4 linked regions of the Arabidopsis thaliana genome follow. The protein of the gene in region 3 interacts with the protein of the main gene of each other region in a pairwise test. Each region holds a gene or a part of one and is shown on either strand. Other genes may lie near its edges.

Region 1 (4,542 bases), on a different chromosome or scaffold from region 3:
AATCTCAAATGCACGGCTCATGTTACAAGGTACTTGTTTTTTTTCTTTTGTAATTAAGAGATCTCATGGTTAATTTTTGGGGTCGTCTGGCTTCCAACTCAAAACAAACCGACGATTAGTATATTTGGCCCATGTTTTTTCTATACTAGTGTTGGTACCTACACATTTCTTCCGATGTGTGATCTTAACAAGTTCTAAACTGGTCTCGTGGTTTGTATTTCAGGTGTGTGCAATAGTTGTGGGAGGGAAAGACGATAAAGAAGCCTTAGCATTCACCAACCGTATGAGGAGAAACAAGCAGACAAGCGTAACCATCTTACACCTCATACCTCAACTTACTACCGAGGAAAGCGAAGACTCGGTGCAGAAGTTGGATTACGATGACATAAAAGAGATAATGAAGACTGAGGATTCAAATGAAAATGATTCATGGATATGTATAGAAAAAAGCGTCAAAGAAGGGGCTGAGACTTCAGTGATACTTAGATCAATAGCGTATGATTATGATTTGTTTATAGTTGGAAGAAGTAGCGGAATGAATAGCGCAGTTACAAAAGGATTAAATGAATGGACAGAGTTCGAGGAACTTGGAGCCCTCGGAGATGTTATAGCGTCAAAGGAGTTTCCTTCAAGGGCATCTGTCTTGGTCTTGCAACAGCAACAATATTAGAATCTTTTTGTTTTACCATGTTATGAATATCCAAAGCACAAATTAGGTTCCTAGAGTTGAGTCGGCGATCCATATAGGTCGTCTGTACTGCTTTCTCGGGGTTAAAATTCTTTATTCTTTTACCAATCAAACAGAGAACAATACATAGAATCAAGATGTGAATGGTCTTGCAACAACAAAGCAATAATACAGCCAATGAACCAAAACGTGATATATCAAAGCAAAAGAAACTTAAGACTTGAGACTATAAACAAAACATAAATATTACTTCATTTAACCATACAATTTGTCGCTAAATTACTATATAACATGGTGTTTATTCAATAGAGAATCAACAATCTCGGTTACATCATCACTAGAATAGAAATTAGAGCCCTGGAAGTTATGAAACATGTAAGAAAGGTACACAATCAATATAGTGCAGAACCGGATTTGACTCACGTTAGAGCAAGCGTTATAGAATCAAGTAAATGACTTGATGAATTCAAAACCTTGATTTAAAAGTGATCCAGTGATCCACAGCTTCAGGTTAGGCAAGTTTAAGCTCTGTTCGAAGCATGTCCCCTGTTTCCACCACACAAGAAAACTCGGTAAGTAAACGGTATACTCGGAAACAAAACAAAGTAAAAGGGCACAAGTTGATTTACATCTAAGGTATATGTTAAGAGGTATGTGTCCGGAGAAGGAGAGCTTAGGTTAGAGTTCTGCACTTGGAAACTTGTAAGAGACTCCAAAGACTTGTAAAGAGATGGAGCAACACCTTCTCCTTTGTTACACACCAATCTCACATAAAACCCTTTCTCCTCCACTTGTATAACATCCATCTAACACAACAAAACATACAAACTTTAAACACTTTGATGTTTCAAGAAGATTGATTGGTTTTTTTAGGTTATTACCTGAATGATTTTTTTGGAAGCAGGAGGATTGATACCGCGAAAAGGTTGAGTCTTTTGAGCATCAGGAGCATGTTCTTGGTACCCTCCAGTAGAGTTTAAAGAAGCTTCAAGACCCGCGATATCGGATTTGAGTTTCTTCGCTTGTGACTGAAGTTCTTGAACATACAACACTGCATCTCCAACAATGGATGCTTTATCCATCTAAATGCCAACACACACATACTTCATCAATATTTACAGTTTCATTAGTCATTACCAAATCTTGAAAATGTTGTGACTTACCTTAGTAATATTGGGAACAAGAGATCTCAATGCATAAAGCTTATCCTTCATACGCCCTCTCCTTCTTCTCTCAGAGATCAAAGTCCTAGACCGATCAGTCTTCGTCTTACGGGTCCCATCATTATTCGTAGTAGTGGCTGAAGAATCATCACCGTCGTTGTAATCTTCTTCATCTTCTTCACCACCGGCTCTAACACTATCACCGTCGAAGCTACGGAATGATTCAGCAACGTTGGAGTCTAAGTCAGGCAATTCGTCGAAGAGGTCATCGACAGGTGTTGGGATGAACTGGTTCTCGTCTATGAAACAGGGGCTGTTTTGTAATGGACCAAGATCGAAATCAAGAACTGGGTTTTCGTCAATGGTTTGATGATCTCCTCTTATGAGGTTTATGAACTGATCGAAGTTTGGATCGACCAAGAAATTGTGAAGTTCGAGATCGTTTATGTTTGACAGAGCGTTGACTCTTCCTTCCATTTGTGTGTTTTTGTCAATGAAGAAAAGTTGTTGACAACGAAAGAGAGACAAAATGAGTTTATATAATAGAGTGAGTATGAAATAAACTGTATTAATTAACATAATAAGTTAAGAAATCAATTAAAACAAATTTAAAGAAATGTACTCTTGATAGTTGGTTGATATTAGTTTATTCAGTTACGTCTTGTAATGTCATGCATGACCTGTATATTATATGTATAAATTATGTTACTCGAATGATTAATTTGTCGTGTTGCATGACAATTATATTTCCACATTGTTCTTCTTTATATTTTATCATTTGAATTTTTTTTTGTGGTGGAGGGAATGCAGATTAGAAACAAGAGTATATGTTGATCAAAAAAAAAAAAAAATATATATAGAAATAACACACATTTTTGGTCATGTCTTTATTGGGAGAAGTTTTTTAAAATTATACTACTTTCCAAAAATATCATTTTTATCCATTTTCAAAAATACCACAAATATTTAGAGTTTTTTAAAGTTATAAAATATACCAAAAATATTACTATATAATTTAGTTTATGAATACATTATTATGAGTTTTGGTTATTAAGACCTTATATAGGCATATAGCATGTATATTAAGCTCATAATATATCCTGTTACTATATAATTTAGTTTATGAATATATATGAGTTTTGGTTATATAAATAAATAAATCGATCAGACCGTATTAAAAAGGTGTTCATAAGTAAAAGTTTACTACGATATTAGACGTACAAATGTTAGTGTACTGTTTATATTTTTGAATTTAGATCCACATATATTCTTGTTTATTAAAATGTTAGGAATTAATTTGCAATCGGCTTATTACAACTGTAGATGTCAACTGGTTTAGTTGTCACAAGCTAGAATTTTAACAAAAGTTTTTCTCAACATTTTTATGTTAGTGTATTTAAAAAGTACTCCAATATGATAAATATGTTTTGTAGAAAAACGGCCAAAATTAATTTCAAATATAAACTTAAACCAGCATAATTTTCAAATAACAAACCAACTCTGGAATATAATAGCATTTCAATTATTTTCTTTTATTTTTGATAAATGCATTTCCATTTTTCAAATCATTTAAGGATAAACCGCAATTAAATTATGAAGAAGCCTGTTCAATGCACGGTTTTCGTTCTTGTCTCAACAAACAAACAAAGGATAGCAAAGAAAGACAGTATAAAATATTAAAGTCTTGGCCGGTTAGGACAAAAATCAACTCTTTATAATATTTCAAGTTGGAATATTTTTTCAGGTATATAACTGTAAAAAAAAAAAAAAAAAAAAAGTCAACCAATTATAGATTCCATCTAGGTGTTGAATTTATTAGAGAAACTGAACTTTTGAGCAACATTGGATTTTTGGGATACTCCACAACTTTCAAAAACATCAACCAATTTCCAAATAAATATTTGAATAATGCTATTATGTCAATTTAGTAGATGTTTGGTTAGATCGTGGCTGTAAATTTCGGTCTGTAATGTTTCTGATATAATCTTATTTTTGCTGTAAAATTTTTTTTCACATATAGCCTCTAGAGTTTAAAACAAATAAAAATTGTTGTAAAAACAATTCATGAATATGGCATACTTTGGTTCAAATATATTTGATACATGTGAAGCTAGCATAATTTTTACTGAAATTCTTCCTATTTCGTTTTTTTTTTGCCACATGATTATCTTTCAGTACTCCAACAAATATGACAACTCTTTTTCTTTTCTTCACTAATTGACATTTGGAACAAATACAATTTTGCTGTACCTATCACATCTTTAGAAACATAACTCTGAATAAGTCACAAACTTATGAAGCAAAATATTTTGACAAACTTTTTTCTTTTTTCCTTTTCTTTTTCCTCTAACCTTTATGCATGTCAACTAGCAGATAACTTTTAATTTGTTCACCCCAACAAAAATGGGGAAAATATGAAAACTCCTTTTCTTCTCTATACAGACATGGAACAAATTCAATTTTTATGTGACTTATCAGCACATCTTTAGAAACACAACAGCGGATAAGTCATGACTCATGAACATCAATAAAGTATTGTGTCAGATTTTCAGATAACCGTAACTATCGGTTACAATTTTGAAAACCGAAATGGCATGGATTCACTAATAAAACCAAACCTACCAATGACCACACCAATCAGTAAACAATGACCACACCAATCAGTAACAGTGGTCCATCCATCTTCTTCTC
Region 2 (5,791 bases), on a different chromosome or scaffold from region 3:
AATTGCTTCACATGTTGATGTTGGTGAGAGAGAGCTTTAAGAGTTGTTTTGAGGTTTGAGTCTCACATTTATGCATCCCTTAATGACAGTCTCGGAAAATTCTTGCATTGTTCGAATCCATGAAAGTTCTTACATATGGTTTACTGAGGTTGACACTTATCCTATGATCTAAATTGATTAATCTTTAAAGAGAAAAATGATCACCTTTTGTGCTTTTAATGTGTTTCTTTTTTGCAGTTTTTGCTCATTTCAAATTGGTATTCATGCAATTTATTTATGGACTTGTCAAGAGTCTAAAAGGCTATGACTTTTTTAACTAGATCTTTAGCAAAAAAGCATTGAGATCTTACAAGAGTGTGAGAGAGGGGACCATTCCTTAAAGCGACAGCTCTTTTACAATTTTGGTTCCATCTTCTTCAACCCATTAGATATTTTGAGGTTTAATGTGAAACGTTTTACTTGATACAAGTTTGTACTGTACAACTGTCTTATAGAACAAACTTAATGATCTTCTTATCTGTTGACAAACGAATAGACAGAATAAACGGTAGATTGGATATGATCTTTGTGTCATGACTCATTAGACCTTTAAATTGAAGATTCTTCTTTTCTATCTTTTGATGTAAACGTACTTTATGATATCTCAACTCATCCATCTGGTGTGTTTTGATTACATCACATGAAAAGGTGTTGCTGCTTTTCTATTAAAAGGTAAAGTTAAATATTCTTATAATACACATGCATTTAGACCCCAAGTGTTTTTGACTAAACTTTGCAAAAATCCAATATTATTATCAAAAGATGATGATGATAGAGAAGATAGACTAGTTTTGATCAACTTCCTTCATTTAGACCAACATGGGTGGCTCTCTTTACCTATCTCATGTCCCCATTCTTTTACTCATCAAAGACAACATCACATTCAAGTTTGGTGGATCTCCTCCTACCACTAAAGTAGGTGAGAGAGAACAATTATTGACATCAGACATAGAAAACAATAATCATATTTTTACTCTTAGTGAGCTAAGTTTCACTTGTAATTTAAGGGAACTGGCTAAATCCCCCTGATGTTCCAGAAGAAGAAACAATTCAAAACTTACTGTTCATGGAAAATGACCAACTTATATCTCTTGGGACCAAAAGATTACGTGAGAAATAGGAATCTCATGTTGTTTAAATAACAAGGATCTAGCCTGAACAGAGCAGTAAAAGTAAAACCCAAAGAGAAAGTTTCAGACTTTATTAGAACATCCACGGAGTTACACAATAAGAACAGGGAGCAGTAACAATAGGATGATGATGATACAAAGTTACAAACATAACACAACAAGACGAAACCTTGGAATCTAACCATAATTGAGCTACAGAAGAACGTTGGTCTAACTGGTGAAAATATGAAAAATTACAATCGGCAAGGTTAAGATATTGGAAGAAGAAGAAGAAGAACCTGAAACTGTTGTTCTTTCTTCATTTCCTTGCGTTTTCTAGATTCAGGCCATTGACTACACAAACCGAGAACACCTTCCCTGTTCCGGACAATCTAAGTCAAGCTTCAATGTGCATGGAAGCTAGACAAGCCCTGCAAAATGGTTTAAAGTTCAATGACCAAAGAAGTACAAAAGTAGTGAATTTGATGTAAAAGGACAGAACTTGAGATAAACCTGAAACTTAGAGGATTAGTTTCGATTGTCAATGGCGAGAAATAGAGGAAGCAGAGGACGGCTTGTGAGTGAGACCGTCGTGCTGCTCCTCTTCTTGGCCCTGAAACCGTGCTGGTATGCGAAAACCCGAAGAGAATTCACCTGAGGCGAATCCGATTCCGGGGATTGCTGATTGGTGAACCGGTGGAGGAAGGTGATGGTGGTGGTTGAGATCGTCGGTGGAGATGGATTGGTGATGATGGTGAGGATCAAACCAAGCACGGATCATGGGACTGTAACTGGACTGAAGGGGACCCCTCTGAGAATAAAGCTGTTGGCTTTGGCCAAGAACTGGCTGAAACGACGTCGTTGAAGGAGTAGGAGGAGCGAACAGAAACCCTCCTCCGTTTCCTGTATCGGTTGCTCCGCCGCCACCGCCGCTGTTCCAAGCCACTAGTCTCTGAATCCTTCCGAATTCCGACGACTGCTGCTCCCAACTCGATGTGTCAAACCCTAACGGATTGCTCTGTCCGTAGAACAGAGTAGGCTCGGAGGCGGAAGCAGAGGTGTGGTGGTGATGTTGGTGGTGCAGAAGCGACGGTGGACCATCCGGGAACGATTGCAGCGAGAGACGGAGATCTTGGTTTTGGCTATTAGTTCGAGAAAGCAAATCCGGCGGATGCTGATGATGATAGTTGTGCATAAGGTTATGATTCGAAGGAGCCTCCGTTGAAGAGCCAATCACCGGAAAAAACGACTTTATAGTGTCAGCTATCGAATCTGAATCCATTGACGGCGGGAGAAAACTCGACTCGTTGTTACTCGGATGCTCTGCTCCTCCTCCGTTGAAGCCAACACCGAACTGAAGCTGTTGTTGTTGTTGTTGCTGTTGCGGCGGTGGCGGAGACGGAGAGATTTGGGTTTTGGCGGTGGTTCTTCTGGGTTTAGCGTTAGCAGCGGCTAGGCGAATTGCATCGGCGGGATTCCAGGGAGGAAGCTCAGCGAGCTCGTCAATGGAAGTCTTAGCCTTTTTGATAAGCCAATCAACGGCTTTGCTAGGTCGGTCGAAACCAAGCCTGTCTTGAACATCGTAAAACTGAATCGCCGTGTGAGCAGAGAGTCTCACGCGCCGGTCACGTGGCCCTTTAGCCGTGCAGACTTTGCTGTGGCGGTCTTTTCTTCCGGTAGACCGAACAATGTGACCACCTTGCACCTCAACAATCTCGCCGCAGCCGCCGTCCGCCGCATCCGACGTAGAACGGTGCCTCATTGAAGAAGGAGGCGGCGGGTGATGGAATTGGTCGTCAGACATTGGTAGAGCATATTCGTCGAGACGGCGGCGGCGGCGGCGACGGTGGTCGTCGTTAGAGGGTGAGGAATCCAGAGTAACTCAAAAAGGATGAAACTCCCGCATACTTGCTCTCCTCACCTCAAAACCCTAACCCTAAAAACAATCCTAAGAAGAAGAGGTTTAGTGAAAATTGTGGACTAACCCATATTTGAGAGAATCTCTCTCTTTTTTTCTATAGCTTAAAGTCTCTCTCTATTGTTTGGTCTGTGTAGTAAATAGAAAACGCAAGAAGGAGACCAAAGAGATGAAGCAAGCAAAGCAAGCGAAGGTGAGAGAGAGAAGAGAGAAAGGGAGATGTGTAATTGACCAATCAAGAAAAACCCAGAGAAAGCTTTTCTTTTTATTTTTCTCTCTCGGGAAAATGGTTAAAGAGAAAAAGTAAAATAAGCAGAAGGAAGAGGGAAGAGGAAGAGAGTGTTGTGGGTTTGATGATGACGCAACTGGGTAAGATGACAGTAAGTGTTTTTTTCCTCTCATCTCCACATTCAATACTTTTATTTTTTCTTTCTTTCTTTTTTGGGTAACCAAAGCTTCCTCGTTTCCCAAATTTATTCATTTTTTTCCATTCTTTGTTTAAAAAAAAAATCTGATTGTTATAAGGTTTTAACAGTAAGTATTCATTTTGTTCATGTTAATTTTTAAAATCAATGTTTAACTTAATGTGTAGATGCAAATACAACCAAATAATAATCAACACAATCATAAACTAAATTGTAGGATGCCAAAATATTAGAAAAAAAATAATAATAATAATAATGATGGTTTTTAGAGTTAGATGTTTCCAAAACCAAATTTGTTTACCAAAATAATAGTATAGGATTTGTTATGTGCATGCAAATCATTATGTTATTTTCTAAGAGAATACATTAAACAGACTACTTTAATTTAGTGTGATATAAAAATACTAAGATGTGTTAAAACATCTACTTTTGGTCAGAGTTACTAACTTCCTTGATATGAAAATGGGCACTCTTTTCGTGGACATGTCCACATACATACATAATCATGGGGATTATATACTTAAAAAGTTGAAATCACTGGAATGAACTAGCTACTTTATTTTTCGAGTTTCCGAATTCAATAAATGAATAAATACCCTAAAAACCTATGGTGTTAGATGGGTCAAGGTTCAATTCAACCTTTTGTGCTTCTCGGTTTCTTTTAAGGGTTGACCCATGCTAGTTCAATGCAAATACATAAAGCTTGTTGATGCTCCACTTCTTTTTACCTTTTTGTTGTAAGAATCTCAATAGTTAACTAAAGTAGATTTTATTCGAAAAATCGAACTCGTTAAAAGAAGAATATAATATTAGTTAGCAATACAATTAGGGCTCTTTATAATCTAAGATTTTCTTTTTTCATCTCTCATCTTCGTTTTTGATGTTTTTGTTTTTTGCAATCCTGTTTTAGATTCTATAAACTAGTAACAAACACAATAAGACTCTCGTTATTCTTTGTTCTAAAATCCAATACTTCTTTTCTAGCTATTTTGACTTGTGGAACTAATTGATTTCACCGTATCGTGTTCGTGTGCATATCACCCAAATTCATATATGAAAGGTATTTTGAAATTGAAGAATACGACGTATAAATAAACTAATAAAGGTGAGTAAAAGACAATCTAAGCTTCAACGGAGACATTTCTAAGATCTTGAGAATTTTACGAGTTCAAAAATAATTGGTGGGACTCTATAATAATAGTATAATGCTTCTTGAATCCCAACCAATTTGACTATAACTCTCACAACTAATTCATGTATGGAATATATTGTGGTTATAATACTTGTACCACAAAATATCTCCAGATTGGTGAAAAACGAATAAATACAACAAACCTATTATATTGTTCACACAATTTTGTAGCATATTAAATTTGAACACACGTACGGTAAGCTAACGTAATTTTCAAGTAGTTGAATATGTTTTTTCTTCAAAGCAATAATAAAAACTTGACGCAAAGGATCATAACTATATAATTTTTTAGTTGGAAAAATATATATAGTATACAGCATTATTTGATAGTTTAAAACTATTCATATAAATAATTACTATTAGACCACCTACTTTAATGTAATAATAAATCAGAAAGTGACATATTAGCATGATAGAAAAGGGTCAATTAACAAACCTAATACGAACACAATAAAATAATTAATCAAACAAAACAAAATATAATATTTAAACATGAAATAGGTTGTTTAGTAGAGAAAAGGAGAATATATGTCATCCCACGGTTGCATATTAATTAAATGTAAATCAAAAGTAGCTTCCACTTGGAATTACGGTCACGATTTGCAACACAACAAAATAGAATGATTACGAGAGATTTAAATTCTTAATTATGGGGAAATTTGTATGAAATGCAATAATTAAGCACAATAATGTCATTGATTATTAACGTCAGTTTTAGTTTTTGACATCAATATTAATTAAATGTATATATATACGCCTCATCAAAATGATATTGTGATCATCAAAGTAGTTGACAATATGGCCAAGTAGGCAAGTAGTATGTATGGATCATCTTATTTAGTTTGCTCTTCGAGCATTAAGAAGGACGTAGTAGTCGACTATAAAAGAAGAGAAATACGATATTATCTTTTTTAAATGTCATGAGATATGATTTATTAATCAAAGTAATCGGTTATTTATAAGTTATCATGGAAATAAAATAGTAACATGGAGGCACAATGCTTTGCGGATATTCATGACTCTCTTTGGTCTGTCATCATTCACTCGTCAGTAATATAAAAACATGCACAAGTTGGAATCATGTTTCAAGAATGGCAAAAGAAAAAGA
Region 3 (5,734 bases):
TTCCATCATAAACTAGACAAACAAAATACAGAATCAGAAACAGAGTTACAACTTTGTGACGACAAAGTGCTCTAAAGATCCAGAAAAGTACCATCAGGATGATAGAATTTGGCTAATCTTCTGTATGCTACCTTAATCTGTTCTTCCTCTGCATTTCTATCCAACTCTGTTACTCAAATTCATACAACATAGAACCATATCAGAAACACGAAACACAACACAAAGACTTCTTGTCAAATTCTTCTGACACAAGTCACAAACAGTAACCAAAACAACAGAACCACTCCAATGAATCGAATAGAATCACAAACTTGTGAATCAACAACCACATCAAAGGAAACTGTAAGATACATAAAATTCCCGAATTGGTAGAAGAAGCTTACCGAGAGTATCGTAAGGAGATTTCTCTTGGCTCCAATTCGATGCTCTAACTAGAGTCTTCCTCTGATTCAAACGAAACCAAAGATTCGAATTTTTAGACCTAAACCAAGACGAATTCGAACTCTGGTTTCTAAAGGCGACGTTTTTAATCGAAACCCTAAAAAGTGATCGACTTTGATGTCTACTACAACACACAATCGAAGAGAACACAGAGTATGGTCTACAGATAGCTCGAAGATTGCTCATAACTTCAAGTTCCAACCCAGAAACCGATCAATTTCGTAAACCCAGAAATCAAAATTCATATAAATCAAATTCCACCTCTTTATATGAACGAACAAGTAAGCTCACGAAAATGAAATTCCTGAAAAATCCAACCGAACAAGAGACTTCTTCTTTACTCTTTTCTTCAATTGAATTTTCTCATTTTCCTCAGAAAATTCCAACGGAAGTTTTTTTGTGGACGACTGAAGCGCAACGATGGGAAAATTACAATAGTACCCTTTGATTTATTGAGTTTCACATTAGTCCCTTAATAATACATTAAATATACATTCAGTACACATATTATCAAATTGCTCAGATTTCAAACTTATTTGTTGTATCTAAATATATTACAAAGTTTCAACCCAAATTTACAATCTTCTCTGGAGAGATACTTCATAAAGCAAAAACCATAAAGTTCTAATCAAGAGAATCTCACTCTACTTAATTAACAAAGATCTTTTTTAAAACATCCTTCCAAGCTTTGTGATGAGTATGCTTCTTCAAGACTTTTGATTCTGCTGTTTCTTGTTTTTAAAGTTTTAATAAGTTCCTCTTTTAAGTTGGTTCTTGTGGACGAGCTGCCCAAAGAGAACTAAGAGCACGAAGTCTATGAAGATACTCTCCTAAAGCTAGTAAACCTCGAGCCGATTGTCTTGTCGTTAAGATCTTCGCCATTTGTTGCAAAGTTTGTTGCCTCAGATGATCTGCCTGTTATAATCAGGATAGAGATGTTTGAAATAGAATGACACAAACTTTACTTAATTTGTTTTGAGTTAATGTTTACTACTTACTTGATTCACAAATCCTTCTAATGCTTGAAGATTCTCTATAGCTGCAGCCATGTGAGTGGGATAATGCGTGGACTCGATAACCGCATCAATCACAATGCTTTCAGCTAAACTCTGTTGAAGTTTATCAATCCCTTGAGACAGAGCATCCTCTGCTTGTTGTGATGATTGTTGGAGGTTTCTCACTTCCAAGATTTGTTGATCCGTTAATGGTTGAAGATAAGGCATCACAACCTACAAGAAAAGGGAAGGAGAAAATATTACATTTTGAAAATGTTTTTGTTAGAGATTGTAACATTTTGGGTATTTTTACGTTTAAAAGTTCGGATGGACGAAACCCTCCAATCCATTGGAAGAATCTTTCGGTTGAAGTTCGCCACATTCCCGATATCAAGTAGAAAACATCGGCTTTTGCTGCATCGGATTTCATTTGGAAAAGATTAGCGTAATGGTTCAAGCAACTCTCTACTAGCATCTTGAGTTCTATGTCGCTTATATGAGATTGAAGCGCTGTTCGTAGTTCGCTAACTCTTCTGCTTTGTTCTTGTAGCCAGTGTGAATATTCCATCTCAAATGATGCAATCCCTGTGTTAATACTCCCAGATGGTCCTAAATGGCCCTTGAAAGAAAACATTTAGTACTGAGTCAATTACGAAACCAAAACTGATTTTCTTGATAGAGACTCAAAACAGAACATTTTAAACATATCTTTTGACCTAGCTCACCTGCTGCTTAACCTTTTCGAGTTCTTGCTCTAACTGCGATAACTTTAACCGGCTTTCCTCTAACTGCTGAACATAAGCCTAAAGATACAAAAAAAAAGAGGACTTAGTAGCAACTAACTAAACTATATGAGATTCAATAAAGGGACTTGCTTCTACCTTCTTTCTCAAACGACTTTTGCGAGCCGCTTCTCGGTTCTGCGCTAAACGCCGTTTCATCTATTGGCATATGACAAAAGAATATCAATCAATATCACAAAAACCACCATTTTCTATTATGCATGTATAAAAAAGAAAACATAATTAGCTTTGTTTTGATCTAAACCTTATCATGAATCCTGCCATCATCATCTTGATTATCATTACTAGAAGGTTGTTCTGCTTCGATCTGGTTATGAGAAGAATCATAATTTATCTGCACGTGATTTAAAAACCCATTAGTAAAAAAACAAGTAACAACAACTTTCAAAAATCAATGAATCTTGAAAGAAGAAAACTAGTTAACCTTGATGTTGTTGTTGTGATCATCAATTCTAGGATCAACCTGAATAATAGAGGAAGTAGCAGTATTGGGACTATGATCATTGATATCAGATTTGAAAACATTTCCCCAACCGACAATTTGTTGAAATGGCTCATAGATTCCCATGTCTCTTAAAGATGCAAGTTGTGTTGGAGAAGAAGAACTCATCATCTCTATATATATCCTCTACATATCAAACCAATCATAGTTGGTAATTTAGAATCTTTCAAAAACATGCACAAGAATAGATCAAAGCAGAAAGAAAAAAGAAAGTTTTGTGTTGCCTCACCTTCAGTTATAGATCCAATAGCTGGCTCTTAAAAATTGCATTTGCTCTCACTGATACAAACCATAAACAGAATAAACTCTTAATCATTTTTAAAACTAATATAAAGTTTGGAACTAAAAAAAACACACGAGAAACTCCAAATTCTCCAAGATCCAAACGTTTCAAGTGAAAAACAGAGAGGGAGGGAAAATTTAACAAACCTTGATCGATAAGCAGAGATATTCATGAAGAATTTGAGAGCTGAAGAGTTAAAGATGCTTATGAAACACGTTTCTGGTTAATACAGAGATATTTTTCATTCGGACCACAGACATCAAATGGAAGAAGAAGTGTATTTCGTTCCTTTGAACACTTCCTGTCACAAAAAAAAAAAACTTAAAGGTCAAGAGTTCCCATCATGTAAAAGAGAGGAAAAAAGGATTTTTTTTTTTTGTTTTGGTCTTTTTCTATTTCATTTATTTGTGACCATCACGGCATCACCATTAGAGTAATATTTAAGTTAAAGAATTAATAATAGTAATCAAGTTTATTAAGAAATAATCACAATCAATTTAAAGGAACGAAACGTTTAACGACAAACAAAACGCAAGAGAGAGATGCATCTTTGGCAAAGCCGAGAAGGTGACCTTATCGTGCGCTTTAATTTCTGAGGTACGCACGACGTGATGTCATCTACCAAGAGCTGAAATACCTTCCGATGTCGACACGTACCAAGTTCAGTCGATTATTCCGGTGGTGTATAATTTATTTGCATTCCAGAATTGGAAAGAGTCTTATGTTTTAGGGTTCAAATAATAAATAGTTTTAACAGAACAAATATACTTTTCCCCCGTTTCTTTAAATTTTGGTATCGTGGGAAACTTTTGATTTATTGGTTGATCAAAGATTTAGTGCTTTTGACAGCAGCAACAGATTTTCTTAAACTATAGACAAGTTCGAAGTTTATCATAAATGTAGTGTATATAGAACCGTACGTTTTGTAGTATATATATAAATTGAATTGTCATATATGTAAAATCGTTTCATATGTTTCTATGTATGTTACGGCGATTTAAACATGTCGTAAATGATAAAATGATCATGATTTATACTATAATTAGAATATCTAAAGTTGAAAAGATTCATCCTTTTAAATATAAATATATATTCATAATCATAGCCCGAATTATCGTCTAACTGATCATGACCAATCCATAATTTTCGAAACCATTTTCACATCTTTTTGGACATGCACGCTGATGGGTCTGCAAAAGAATCAATGTCTTTTTCCCTATAAGTTAGGTTCATATAGGTGGTACAAAGATGTAGGATTTTCTTTCTTCAAATTTTATTTTATCAACGTTATGTTTTTATTTTCTTTCTTTTACAACTTTAGGTTTATTTTGAGGGGACCATAAGGTTTATGCAGTGGCGTCTTTATGCTTAGTCTCCTTCCCTGACTTAGTGACAAATAATTGGAGCTTTAATGGCCTACCAAACACAAAAGATAACATTTTTAAATCTCTTTATTATTTTAAAATTAGGAATCTTAATTAGTTCGGAACCACTTGTGTAATAAAAATCTGTGTGTTCGACAAAGACAAGCATGTTTGTTTATTTTCTTATTCAGTTTTATTTCCTCTCTTGGTTTTACTTTAATAAAGAGTCCCTCTATATTGTTTTTCCAATCTATATACTATAATAAATATGAATCGGTGCGGTGATACGCAAATAAATAAATACAAGAAAAGCAACAATATTGTATGATCCTGTCAGAATATCAATTGGCATCGCGAAAGATCATATATAGTTTGGCTTGATTTATTGGTAAATCGAAGTTCTTAGAAACTTACCGAGCTAACTAAGCCTTGGTCAAGAACCTAGATAATTTTAAAACTATATGCATGCATTATAGATATCATTGTTACGTCTTATAGTTGATGAAGAAAAAGAAAGTATGATTACAAAAGTTACGTACACACAATTCTACTTTAATTCATCACGAAGACACCGATCTTCCACTATTTTCATTATCTTCTTTCTCCTTTTTTTCGTTATGACTACAAAAGTTATGCATTTTATTGCTTTTCTCGTTATCTTCTCCGTACCTTTTTTAATCTCTTATTTCTTACATTCTTCTCAAGTACACTTTAAAAAAATATATCTTTCAAGATTGATATGGATTGCATTCTACTATTTTCAGACTATATTTTGCACCAGAAATAGTTTCTGTTTGTTTCCCGTTTTCTTGAAAAAAATAGTGGTTAGAAAATACACTTGAAACCAATCTAGGTGAATAAAACATGAAAACTTGTTTTTAGGTTTAAACCGCCGTAGGAAGAATAATCAAAGATATATCGTAACTGAGCAAATCAAAATTTCGAATCTATCATGCCCTGATGAGATTCTTGTGCACGCGAATGATCGATCATCAGACGTTCAAAAAAGGAAAAATTAAAATTCGAATATTTGTAAAATTGCTTCATGAAGAATACATAGTAAATATTCTCCATAAATTACAAAACAAAGAAGGAATATAAGAAAATCTATTAAAGGAGGCATATATATAAATATATATTTATATACTATAGTTCCTTTTATATAAACCGCATGTCGTTCAAAGATTCGAACTTGAACTGAACTGAGATTGATTCTCTTATTTCGCATTCCGAAAAAATGAATACATATTCTTTCATGTTGGTTAAACATGCAGTACAACCACATGATTAGTAATAATAAACTTTTGCTACAAAATCTTAAAATGAACACAGAATTTAAGAGATTA
Region 4 (5,706 bases), on a different chromosome or scaffold from region 3:
TCTACAACATATATAATGATGGTGGATTTGAGAAGAATGGCCAACCAGACATGTGTTTAACACTTTTGCCTTTTTTATATTAAATATCTAGTTATCATTTTTGTCATCTTAAATTTTTAAAACCTAAAGATAGAACCATAGAAAGTTCTCGGAAAGTTTGTGCTAAAGATAGAAACTACGATAGCACAAACTATTATGTAATGTCCCATCGTTTCGACACTTTCAATCGCCCTTTGGAAACTCTTGATGTAAGCTATTGGGAACTACAAAAAAAGTTATTCGACCATGAAAGTAGATTATGGGTGCAAATGATTGTGCGTAGATGAATGATTGGAAACAATCTGAGTTGAGAAAGATGAAAGTGTTGAACATATGGTGACAAATAGATGCCAATTTTGTTTAACATACTTTTTTCATCTAAATGTACAACTATTTGCACCCCATACTTGTTGGTGTTATTCCATGTTTGGGCAAAGATTAATCTATGGTGAAATAGACATTGAGCTAAAGGCCCAAAAGTAAACCTTGTTTTCACTTTATAGCTAAGATTACTCATAGCCTATTGGCATTCTTGAATAAATCGTTCCTTGATCTTCTCTTGCTTGTTTTTGTATCGTCTTACAATTGCACATATCTTTCATATACTATCAAATTTGTAAAAAAAAATCGAAATCTTCAAAAACAAGTGAATAGGTTGTTAAATGTCATGTTTGAAGTTTAGCAAATTTCCCATATTATCTCATTGGTTTGGTGTTTGGACATATTTGTGTTCATATTGCAGTAGAATGAAGCATGTGGTCATACTCTTTAGTACTAAAAAATTATATGTTTGTAGATTCACGTATGTTATTAGTTTTCAAATCCCTACATCATATTATCATTTTTTTTAATTATTTTTTTGGGTCAAAACATCATATTATCATTTTTAAAAATTGATTTTAAATTATAAGTGCCGAGGTTTAAGGTAATGAAATCGAAGAAACGTTCAACACACCAAAGATCTCTCAAACTGAAGATTTTATTAGAAGATTTGTCAGAATTTCTCCCTCAAGCAGTCTTCTTTATATCTCCTCTATAGCTCAGATTTTTTTCCCATTCATTCTTTTTTACATTGTGCTCAACATTTGAAGCAACATGCGCAATGGAACTGGAAAGTTTCTAATTTAGATTGGTGTTCACCAAACTCTTGTTCCTTCTGTATCAATAAACACATCAAGAGATAGAGAGAGATTCAAGCTTTCTTAGCTCTTTTAATTGAAGCTTTATTGATTGCATCAGAGATCTCTCTCCGTCTTTTTGCATTGTTCTTGTTGATCTCTCCAGTTCCAGTATTGTTATTGTTTTGAGCGTTTGTTCCTCCAGAGCTTTTGTTAGCTGCTTTCAATGCTTCTTGCACAAACACCTTCAGTCTCCACAATGTAACGTCAGTCTGTTCACAAACAAGAGAGGAAACCGTTAAAACCTGAATATCTGATGCAAAACCACAAAGAAATAAGGAAGATTTTGGTGTTGACCTGAACATCAATGTCAAGCTCGACTTCTGGTGCTCCAGCCGGGAAACTCGGGTTGCTCTCTGAAACCATTTTTAACGCCTTAGACAGATCCTCAGGTGAGAGACGACCTAGAGCTGCAGAAAGTCCTTTCTTTTCTTGAGTGGACAGTTTTCTGTTTATTTCCAAAACCACACCAAAAACTCGGTTACGAACCCTTCATTAAGGGTAAAAATGATCAACAGAAGAGGTTATTTATACCTGCATCTCTGAACTACTGATTCCCGGAGTTTCTCCAGCTGCAGATCAATCTCATATAGCTAAAGATACGTACAAAGCAAACTCATCAACCCACAGCTATAATAAATGGCCTGAAATGAAATAGATCAACAGCTGATAATTGGTTTTGCATTTGCTTACTTCGTTGCTTAAATCCCTAGCCATTTCCGCTTGTGCAGCCTCCATTGTAAGCTGCTTATTGGCATGCTTCTCCGCTTCTTCGTCTACTTGTTTCTTTTCCTGTTCATAACATCACAGTTAACACATCACTGATATTACAAAGACGAATACTTGGAAACTGAACATTTGGTGTACCTCCTCCACAAGTTTAGGCATTATCAGGAGCCATTTCTCCTCAAATTTCTCCAGAAGAGATTCAGCCATCACATAAACATCTTCTTTTTCTTCATTGTATCTCATCGCGTTCTTGAAAACTAGTCTAACATCGGCATATATCTCCCTGACATTGCTATACTCCGAACTCTCCATTTTTTTTTTAATTGTTCCCAAGTCCATTGGCTTCTCTATAACCTGTTAAGTAATGAACAGAAGCTATGAACATTTTTCAAAATCGCTCATTTCAGCAAAATTCCATGTAAACATGGAATATTTAACCCACAGTATATTAGCAACAGTTTGAATCTTTACCTTGTAATAATCATGTAGTCCAAGTCCTTTAACATCAACAGGCTCCAAGAACGGCCATGCCCATTTATGTTGAGCAATCTAAGAGGTATAAGAAGATGAAAGTTTTAGATGCAGCAAACACTGAGTAAACAATATAAATTTGGTAAACTAAGGACGCATTAAACAAAGTAATCTAAGATCCAGGCTTTCGATTTTCGTCATAATCTGAGAATAGTATCATAGAGACAAAGAGGGTATATTTTTCTTGCTTGCCTGACGAAACATTGTTGCAAATTGACGCATAAGGTCAGGGCTGGAAACATGTTTTCCCTTTGATTTTTCTTTCCCGGCCGAGTTACCCTTCGAGTTGTTTGGTTGAGAAATAGCGATCTTCTTCCCGCCCGAGTTACTCTTAGAAGTGTTAGTTTGAGCAGCTCCATCTTTTGTAGAGTAAAAGTGTTCGACCTCCACAACTTTTTGCTCAAGCTGCACTCCAATATAGGGGTAAGAGATTTGAAACCAAGAAAGTAGCAGTGCCAAGTGAAAGCAATTGTCACCTGATTCACTCTATCTGTTATCTCATCTACGCAAGTCCCAAAATTCTCAAGCTCACTTTCTCCATTTCCATTGAAAACTGCAAGCTCTGTATTCTCGACATCGCAGTTTGGAACAAGCACAGGTTCTTCCTAAACAATGACAGAAACTCATCAAAAAGCTTCAAGACAGCACAAACCTTAAAAGAACAAACATTTTTGAGTTAACTAAACTTCAAAATCGAACACAATCCTCTGAATTGCATCTTTCTACAATAATTATAACTGAGAATTGAGTCTCTATACCATTCTAGTTACTCAAAAGAGTTTAAATTGAATAAAGTTTGACACTTTATGATAACCCTAATCTAAAAAATTGGGAATTGTCAACAAAAACAACTAAGCTTATCGAGACGGAAGCAAAGGTAAGCCAAAATGTCAAAAGTAAGGGTATAGAATCAACAAAGGAAAGTGATTGCAACTATAATCAGGAAGTAATAATAAGCTTATGTACCTTGACATGTACAGACATTAGAGAAGAGTAGTGACTCACGAGAGCTTTTTCGAAGGATCAGAAGAAAGACAGAGGTCGGAGGACGAAGACGGAAGAGACAGCAGCTAACGCTTTGCTCCGGTTTAGGGTTTAGAACGAATAGGCTTTTCAAAAAACTTTAACCTTTTTATCAATTTGGGCTTCTCTGTTCGGCCCATTATTCAACCAACATTCCAATTACGCGGTTTAATTTTCAACAACCAGTTAAAATATTGGGTTGCATCTTCCATTTCTAAAAATAGTAATATAGTAAATTTTTATTCTTGATAATGTAAAATTGACTTTTATTATAGTCTTTTAGTTTGGTTCTGAAAAGAAGAAAAAAAATCATACTTGAAATCATCTGAAATATCACACATATAATGAGTTTAATTTATTTATTTTGGTATAAATTAACTTCTTTTTTGTGTGCAAAAGTATAAATTAACTAAAAGATCATTCTAACACTTCCTTAATAAACGATACAAGGCATGAAATATTTCAGTAACATCAAAAGTTTGAAAATATTTTCCTACATCGTCAATTGAATTAAAATAAAAAATGTCTTACGGTAGTTGTAGTTAAATTGCCTATAAATCTATTAAAAAAAACATAACAAGAAAGTTGCAGATGTCTCTCCCCTTGGTTCGAAAACTATGAGGCATAAATCATCTTTTCTCATCAAATTTTGAACTTGGGAACACAAAAACAACATCAAAAATAATACTATTATCTAGAAGAGCTACAATGGGTCTATAAATTCATTTAAATACTAAAAACTCTATCCCACAATTCTTTTGCATTTTTTGGTTTCTTGGCGTGGCAAATGCCATTAATGTATACTAAGTTACTAACAATAAATAACACTCCATTTTAAAATACTTTTAAAACATCTTTTTGATTGACCGTCATAGAAAATTATGAAGACATATCATATCGTTCAAATGTAGTATAGATTCAACATCCAAGAAACATGCAATGTTCGAGCAACGAAATATCTTTTCTTATTAATTCGCAAATCATTTTATATATATTTTGTCAAGATTCTCAATTCATTTGATTATCACACACGTACCTAACACTGATAATAAGCTAATGGTCAAAATGTGGAGACACGGATTTAGTATATTCAAATGTTATCATGTACCTTCTTCGTCAGACCGCCTCTGTATTAACATCCCAACATGTTAGTCACTACTTCTCCACGCCGACATAGACGTGCTTTCCACTTCTTCCCCCATCTCTATATATTCTGAAAATTCTAACCCTAAACCCTAAAAATCAAACCTTTTCCTTCATCATCTTTAGTACATCGTCTTAAGATTTCTGACTTTGTTATGTCTCCTCCAGCATTGGTTGTGTTTGAAGATGGTTTAACCCAAAAATGGAGCAACGACGAGTGGCAGGGTTTCAGCGTTTATCCCGGAGAAAACCCTAACCCTAATATTAATTTCTTGGTGCAGAAGGCGACTCTGCAGAACCAGATGACTGTCTCTCGCCCATCGCTGAACGAAGAGAGCTTCAGAATGGTCTTACCTCTGGCAATGTCTCCGCCAAGAGACAACGCTGTGCCTCTTCCTGTTCTTCCTGAGCCGATGATGAAACCACGGAAGAAGCTTAGCCACCAAGAATCCATGCTTTCTCTACGAAAATCTCGGTATCCCGAGAAAAACTTCTACCAAGAAGAAGAAAATTTCAAGTGCAATGCGTTCTGTTTATCCCTCCCCGGGTTTGGAAAAAGACCTGTGCGATCACCAAAAAGCGAGGACTCTATAAAGAAGAAAATGATCAAAGCGTCATCATTCTCAAATTCCACTGTCTCACTAAGTGCCTCGCTAGAGAAATTCGAATGTGGATCATGGGCTTCAACGACAGCTCTAACCCGCGAAAACGGCAGATTGTATATCGATCTACCGGTGGAGATGATCAAATGTGGCGGTGGAGATGTGCAAGAACCAGTGAGTTCTGGTTTCTTCTTTGACAAGGAAACAGGAAGTCTAGCTTTGAGAAGCGTTCTAAAGAAAAGCAGTTCTCTGTCTGGAAGACAATTAAGGGATTTGGCTGAGACATCCCCGCAACGCCGTGTCAGATTCTCGACCACAACCTCGGATTCGTGCCCAGCTTCGCCGCGAACATGTATTACCCCAAGACTGTTGAAAGCTAGAGATGACTTCAATACGTTCTTAGCAGCACAGAACGCGTGAAACACACACAAAATAAAAAAAACAGAGCACTAAGACTTTGC

Evidence for each region.
Region 1: the proteins of TGA7 (region 3) and FRU interact in binary tests that used the Arabidopsis thaliana proteins (3 or more experiments, as listed by UniProt).
Region 2: the proteins of TGA7 (region 3) and TCP4 interact in binary tests that used the Arabidopsis thaliana proteins (3 or more experiments, as listed by UniProt).
Region 4: the proteins of TGA7 (region 3) and IMB1 interact in binary tests that used the Arabidopsis thaliana proteins (3 or more experiments, as listed by UniProt).

Annotation. Positions count from the first base shown.
Region 1 is NC_003071.7:12,002,499-12,007,040, reverse strand, and holds FRU (FER-like regulator of iron uptake), read right to left. Parts: upstream 2,384-4,542; 5' UTR 2,329-2,383; coding exon 1,852-2,328; intron 1,771-1,851; coding exon 1,570-1,770; intron 1,495-1,569; coding exon 1,318-1,494; intron 1,235-1,317; coding exon 1,133-1,234; 3' UTR 1,046-1,132; coding exon of another isoform or gene 1,038-1,045; 3' UTR 765-1,037; downstream 1-764. Other genes in the region: ATCHX7 (Cation/hydrogen exchanger family protein), read left to right, coding at 1-29, 224-670. UniProt on the Arabidopsis thaliana protein: Transcription factor. Essential protein involved in iron uptake responses. Regulates FRO2 at the level of mRNA accumulation and IRT1 at the level of protein accumulation. Confers enhanced iron mobilization responses at low iron supply.
Region 2 is NC_003074.8:5,059,469-5,065,259, reverse strand, and holds TCP4 (TCP family transcription factor 4), read right to left. Parts: upstream 3,580-5,791; 5' UTR 2,953-3,579; coding exon 1,690-2,952; 3' UTR 1,662-1,689; intron 1,580-1,661; 3' UTR 1,108-1,579; downstream 1-1,107. UniProt on the Arabidopsis thaliana protein: Transcription factor playing a pivotal role in the control of morphogenesis of shoot organs by negatively regulating the expression of boundary-specific genes such as CUC genes, probably through the induction of miRNA (e.g. miR164).
Region 3 is NC_003070.9:29,296,077-29,301,810, reverse strand, and holds TGA7 (bZIP transcription factor family protein), read right to left. Parts: upstream 3,569-5,734; 5' UTR 3,171-3,568; intron 3,021-3,170; 5' UTR 2,971-3,020; intron 2,868-2,970; 5' UTR 2,853-2,867; coding exon 2,664-2,852; intron 2,574-2,663; coding exon 2,484-2,573; intron 2,378-2,483; coding exon 2,318-2,377; intron 2,240-2,317; coding exon 2,162-2,239; intron 2,056-2,161; coding exon 1,750-2,055; intron 1,671-1,749; coding exon 1,440-1,670; intron 1,357-1,439; coding exon 1,204-1,356; 3' UTR 866-1,203; downstream 1-865. Other genes in the region: AT1G77930 (Chaperone DnaJ-domain superfamily protein), read right to left, coding at 1-12, 92-166, 384-627; AT1G77910 (uncharacterized protein), read right to left, coding at 5,404-5,673.
Region 4 is NC_003071.7:14,722,102-14,727,807, forward strand, and holds IMB1 (Transcription factor GTE6), read right to left. Parts: upstream 3,584-5,706; 5' UTR 3,462-3,583; coding exon 3,444-3,461; intron 3,083-3,443; coding exon 2,954-3,082; intron 2,883-2,953; coding exon 2,670-2,882; intron 2,496-2,669; coding exon 2,418-2,495; intron 2,301-2,417; coding exon 2,085-2,300; intron 2,010-2,084; coding exon 1,911-2,009; intron 1,811-1,910; coding exon 1,752-1,810; intron 1,666-1,751; coding exon 1,515-1,665; intron 1,430-1,514; coding exon 1,232-1,429; 3' UTR 912-1,231; downstream 1-911. Other genes in the region: AT2G34910 (root hair specific protein), read left to right, coding at 4,799-5,665. UniProt on the Arabidopsis thaliana protein: Transcription activator that plays a role in the promotion of seed germination by both negatively and positively regulating the abscisic acid (ABA) and phytochrome A (phyA) transduction pathways, respectively.